Saccharomyces cerevisiae S288C: one gene and its partner. Changing the gene in region 1 together with any one later gene gives a genetic interaction. Each region holds a gene or a part of one and is shown in the gene's direction. Other genes may lie near its edges.

Evidence for each region. A genetic interaction does not mean that the proteins touch.
Region 2: of NHA1 (region 1) and ERV14, extra expression of one rescues a mutant of the other (dosage rescue), as found in Saccharomyces cerevisiae (4 studies listed by BioGRID, with this or other methods).

Annotation. Positions count from the first base shown.
Region 1 is NC_001144.5:416,730-420,493, forward strand, and holds the start of NHA1 (Nha1p), read left to right. Parts: upstream 1-1,707; coding exon 1,708-3,764. Other genes in the region: RKM5 (S-adenosylmethionine-dependent methyltransferase), read left to right, coding at 277-1,380. UniProt on the Saccharomyces cerevisiae protein: Sodium export from cell, takes up external protons in exchange for internal sodium ions. Also capable of exporting potassium ions.
Region 2 is NC_001139.9:400,234-403,013, reverse strand, and holds ERV14 (cornichon family protein), read left to right. Parts: upstream 1-1,726; coding exon 1,727-2,143; downstream 2,144-2,780. Other genes in the region: pheromone-regulated DUP240 family protein PRM8, read right to left, coding at 1-425. UniProt on the Saccharomyces cerevisiae protein: Could regulate export of the bud site and axial growth sites selection protein AXL2 and possibly other secretory proteins from the endoplasmic reticulum in COPII-coated vesicles. Seems to be required for axial budding pattern in haploid cells.

The DNA of each region.
Region 1 (3,764 bases):
ACCAAGAGCCTCCAAGTCCCACCAACGATTATGTCTTCTCTCAAATATATATACAAGTTACATGTAGAGAAATCGAGACGAGATTGCTGGCACAATGCACCCAACTGCATGTGCCATTGTGCATCTACACCTCCAAATTAGGGTGTCGATTGGCGTCGTCTTCTTTAATGTGGGTGCATTTTGCGGCGGCGCGACAAATATAGAGAACTGACCAAGGCAGTGCTGTCAAGAAGAGAGAATGGTTACGGCAGCGAAGACGCAAATGGGCTAGGCAGAATGGCATTCAAGTTATGGCTACTGGATGAGGAAACAATATACGAGCACGTGTTCGAACGGTACACACAATTGGAGGGCCAGTCCGGGAAACTGGCGCAGGATTTGGGTATTCAGGATAGAAGGGGCGGTGTGCTAGAGATAACGTTTGAACCCTCTGGGCTGGAAGGCGGCAGAAAAAAAAAGCGAGTGAGAAGAAGAAATAAGGCTAGTAGTGTTGAAGAAGATCAGAATGTTGCTGTGGATAGCTATCATGTTAGCGTGGGGCAGTCCATATCAAGCTTGCGCTCGTCCAGAGACAACGGAAACTCCACCACAGGATACGTTTTGTGGTCTACCACACCTTTCTTCATCAACTGGCTGCTGTATAGTACTAGCGCTGCACCTTTCCGTCTTGGGAGTCAGGTGGAAGTAACCTGCGGGTCTTCTTGCGAGGGGCACAAGCTTGAGTTGCCCAGGCTGGTCGACCTCACGGGCGCTGATCGCGGCAAGAGAGGTATCTTGGAACTTGGAGCAGGAATATCAGGTATTTTGCCCGTGATTCTTGGTAACTTCGTCGACACCTACGTGTCGACAGATCAGAAGGGCATTCTTAATAAATTAAAAGATAACATCATGGAAAACTTATCACAGTTGACCAGAAAGCGGTGCATTTCCCGATCACTAAGATTGGAACTTCCCACCGTCGAACCAGTTGGCGACGCTGATATCACCGCAGCGTCACTTCCATCTAAGTCTACGTTGCATTTGGAAGTAGCCGCTCTAGACTGGGAGAAGATAAACTTGCAAGACAAAAAGACCCACTCTCTGCATCCTGAGTTGTCACTCATAGGTGAAACATGTTCTTCCGTGTACGTTATAGCTATGGATGTCATATACAACGAGTACCTGATAGATCCGTTTCTGAAGACGCTCAAGCAACTCAAACACTGGTTACAAACTACCTACAATTTGCAATTCCATGTCCTCGTGGGGATACACTTGCGGTCACAAGAGGTGACAACACTGTTCTTGGAGAAAGCCATCATAGAATATGACTTCACGGTTTATGATATCGTTGACCAGGTCATACAAGAGTCCCGTTTTAACTTTTATCTTATCACCTAGTCCCATATATAATAATAGAAACAATATAATGCTGATAATCTTATTTTTCTTTGCGATGCGGCAGTGCCTCTTCCCCTCCGTACGGATTGGGAAGATTTTCATTTTTGATTAGCAAGGGCACTAAGCCAACTCTGTGTGATATAGCTAATAATCTAAAAGCTGCTGGATCCGTTATCGTCAAGATAAAGCGGACTTAGCGATTTACATAGGATCACACTTTCTACACACATTTGATTTTTAAGCTTCATTTTCCACTGCACTTATTTTTCCCAAGCATCGTGTTTTTTTGTACATTATAAAAAAAAATCCTGAACTTAGCTAGATATTATGGCTATCTGGGAGCAACTAGAAGTCTCAAAGGCGCACGTTGCTTATGCATGTGTTGGTGTCTTTTCATCTATCTTCTCTTTAGTGTCACTTTATGTCAAGGAGAAGCTTTATATTGGTGAGTCCACCGTAGCAGGTATATTTGGGCTAATTGTGGGTCCTGTTTGCTTGAACTGGTTTAATCCTCTGAAATGGGGGAATTCAGACAGTATAACATTAGAGATAACGAGAATAGTATTATGTTTGCAAATTTTTGCCGTTGCCGTGGAACTGCCACGGAAATATATGTTGAAGCATTGGGTATCTGTGACGATGCTATTATTGCCAGTGATGACAGCTGGATGGCTTATTATTGGTCTCTTCGTTTGGATTCTTATACCTGGCTTGAATTTTTCTGCTAGTTTGTTGATATCTGCGTGCATTACCGCAACAGATCCTATTCTGGCGCAGTCGGTCGTCTCCGGTAAGTTTGCCCAAAGAGTACCTGGTCACTTAAGAAATCTACTGTCTGCAGAGTCAGGCTGCAATGATGGTATGGCCTTTCCTTTTTTATTTCTTTCTATGAATTTAATCCTACATCCCGGTAATGGAAGAGAAATTGTCAAAGATTGGATTTGCGTTACTATCCTGTATGAGTGTTTGTTTGGATGCTTGCTAGGTTGCTTCATTGGTTATGTAGGCAGAATCACCATCAGGTTTGCCGAAAAGAAAAACATTATCGATCGTGAGTCGTTCTTAGCATTTTACGTTGTCCTGGCGTTCATGTGTGCTGGGTTCGGCTCCATTTTGGGTGTGGATGACCTATTGGTATCATTTGCAGCCGGTGCGACTTTCGCTTGGGATGGGTGGTTTTCTCAAAAGACACAAGAAAGTAATGTTTCTACCGTGATTGATTTGCTACTAAACTATGCGTATTTTATCTATTTTGGTGCCATTATACCTTGGAGTCAATTCAACAACGGTGAAATTGGCACAAACGTCTGGCGTTTAATTATACTTTCGATAGTGGTCATCTTTTTACGTAGGATCCCTGCAGTCATGATATTAAGACCTCTTATACCTGATATAAAATCGTGGCGTGAGGCACTTTTTGTGGGCCATTTTGGTCCTATTGGTGTAGGTGCAATTTTTGCCGCTATACTAGCTCGTGGAGAATTAGAGTCTACCTTTAGTGACGAACCCACTCCTTTAAATGTTGTACCATCAAAAGAGGAAAGTAAACATTGGCAGCTGATAGCCTGTATATGGCCAATAACTTGTTTTTTCATTGTTACTTCTATCATAGTTCATGGTTCTTCAGTTGCAATCATAACTCTAGGTCGTCATTTGAACACGATAACGTTAACCAAAACATTCACTACACACACCACCAATGGTGATAATGGGAAAAGTTCATGGATGCAAAGGTTGCCATCGTTGGATAAAGCTGGACGATCATTTTCATTGCATCGTATGGATACTCAAATGACTTTATCAGGGGATGAAGGTGAAGCAGAAGAAGGAGGAGGTCGTAAGGGACTAGCAGGAGGTGAAGATGAAGAAGGATTAAACAATGATCAAATTGGTAGCGTCGCAACGAGCGGAATTCCTGCAAGACCCGCTGGTGGTATGCCAAGGAGGAGGAAATTGTCAAGAAAAGAGAAAAGATTGAACAGAAGACAGAAACTGAGAAACAAAGGTAGAGAAATATTTTCATCAAGATCTAAAAATGAAATGTATGATGACGATGAGTTGAATGATCTGGGACGAGAAAGGTTGCAAAAAGAAAAGGAAGCACGCGCCGCCACATTTGCATTGAGCACAGCCGTCAATACACAACGTAATGAGGAGATTGGAATGGGTGGAGATGAAGAAGAAGATGAGTACACACCGGAAAAGGAATATAGCGATAATTACAATAACACACCAAGTTTTGAGTCGTCTGAAAGATCTTCATCTCTCCGAGGAAGAACTTACGTACCAAGAAACCGTTACGATGGAGAAGAGACAGAAAGCGAGATTGAAAGCGAAGACGAGATGGAAAATGAAAGTGAAAGATCAATGGCCAGTAGTGAAGA
Region 2 (2,780 bases), on another chromosome or scaffold:
AAATCGTTATCAAATAAATACTGGTTCATCTTGTATGTAATTGTCCTCCATTCTTTCCCCTTTACCGTAGGTTTCCGTGTGATAATTTCCATCAGTAGCTTACATTTGAAATCTTCATCACTGATCTGTGGTCCAAACCTGAGTATTAGAACTATCACTAAAATGCCAGAGAATATGAGGAGAAACCCTACAGAAACCCCAACGCAATTTTCGTTATCATGAAAAAGAATAATTATTGAGATTAAAACCCCAATTACTAGAGACAAAAGCATGACCGGTGTACAGTGAGCTGCTTCATATATCCAATAACTCAAGTACGAATGGAATATGTCCTTAGGAAGAGCCACATTTTCCTCGATTAAATATGCACCGGGTTCGTCGAGAGAATCCGACTTGGCGTTGGTATTTTCTGAAGGGGTTTGCATGTTGAATTGATATCTTGTCTTGTGTAAGGTTATTATATGGTTTTGGAGGTTGTTATGCTGATTCGAATTACGACTTGATCTTGATACTAATTGAGCTTTGACGAAATATTTTAGCAATTCAGAACCCCTTTCATATTCTTTTTCTTCTTTTCATTTTTAGAGGCGTTATTTCACTAATAGGTACAGCCTCCGAAATAATACGTAATTGAAGATATGATAATAACAGTACGAGCCTTTTACAGGGCCATTATGATCATGAGTGAGATCCAGAAAAGCACATTGCATGGCAGTCGGATGTTGAGAATTGGGGGAATTTTGAGATAATTGTTGGGATTCCATTGTTGATAAAGGCTATAATATTAGGTATACCTAATATACTAGAAGTTCTCCTCGAGGATATAGGAATCCTCAAAATGGAATCTATATTTCTACATACTAATATCACGATTATTCCTCATTCCGTTTTATATGTTTCATTATCCTATTACATTATCAATCCTTGCACTTCAGCTTCCTCTAACATCGATGACAGCTTCTCATAACTTATGTCATCATCTTAACACCGTATATGATAATATATTGATAATATAACTATTAGTTGATAGACGATAGTGGATTTTTATTCCAACAATCTCAACATTCACCCATTTCTCACATTTATCTCAAAATCCACCCATTTCTCAATAATATATATGGTAAGTAACCAGTTGTCAAAACAGTTTATCAGATTAATTCACGGAATGTTACTTATCTTATATATTATATAAAATATGAATCATACTAAGTGGTGGAAGCGCGGAATCTCGGATCTAAACTAATTGTTCAGGCATTTATACTTTTGGGTAGTTCAGCTAGGGAAGGCCGGGTTTTATCTCATGTTGTTCGTTTTGATATAAGGTTGTTTCATATGTGTTGTATGAACGTTTAGGATGACGTATTGTCATACTGACATATCTCATTTTGAGATACAACATTTTCAGTTAATTTGTTTCCGATATAGTGTAACGGCTATCACATCACGCTTTCACCGTGGAGACCGGGGTTCGACTCCCCGTATCGGAGTATTTTTTTGAAAGTTTTTTTTCACGTTAGTTCCGTGAAGAAAATTTTTTTTCTTCATTTCGGAGAAAAAACAAGGAAGGAGAAAGATTTAAGAGTGATAGCTAGATCATGTATTCCTTAATACGAAGGAGAGACCTGGATTTTTCTCATATTATTATGTCTCACTGCCTACTTAACAAAGACATTTACCTTTGAACTGCAATTAAAGTAAAGTAAAAAAATTAAGAATAAAAAGAAAAATGGGTGCTTGGTTATTTATCCTTGCTGTTGTTGTCAACTGTATCAATTTGTTTGGCCAAGTGCATTTCACAATACTATACGCTGATTTAGAAGCTGACTATATCAATCCAATTGAATTATGTTCTAAAGTTAACAAGTTAATTACCCCTGAAGCCGCCTTGCATGGTGCTTTGTCATTACTATTCTTACTGAACGGTTACTGGTTTGTATTTTTATTGAACTTACCAGTTCTAGCTTACAATCTAAACAAGATCTACAATAAAGTTCAACTTTTGGATGCTACCGAAATATTCAGAACTTTAGGCAAACATAAAAGGGAGAGTTTCCTAAAGTTAGGTTTCCACTTATTGATGTTCTTCTTCTACTTGTACAGAATGATCATGGCTTTGATTGCTGAAAGTGGTGATGACTTCTAATCCAACAAGACATTGAAATCCAAAGAAGACTGAAGGGCCAAGAATAATAGACATACTTAATGGCCGCCCATAGATTGGAGGAAAACTGAAGATAAAAAAGATAAATACACAGAATGTATTAATTCGTGCTTCCCTTTTTTCCTTTTTTGCTTTTTTTCTCAATTGTCGGTGGGAGTTATCAATTTTTTTCGTTATTACCAGCATCTATTAAAGTAAAATACCGGTGAATATCGGTAAATAATAGGTTACTGTATAAATGTACATATAAATATTTGTATAGTTAGTATGCCATACAAAATAAAAAAAAAAAAAAAAAAAAACTAAAAGGTTGAGAACTTAAGGGTGAGCATGACTGTGAAATTTTGAAGAGATGCAGTAAGCCATCCCATATCTATTGCTCCAGGGCCCAGAAAAAAAAAATAAAAAATAGAACTTAAGTTGAAACTTAGTGCAAAAGATATATAATGAAAAAAGATAACCAAATCTGAATCTAAATGAAAATGAAAATTTCTATACATAAATAACGAAGAATAAAATACTAAAATGAAAAAAATAAATAAAAAAGGTAAATCGTAATAAGAGAAAAAAAAAGGAAAAATGTCAAAACGTAATCATGAAAAAAAAAAATTCAATTGAT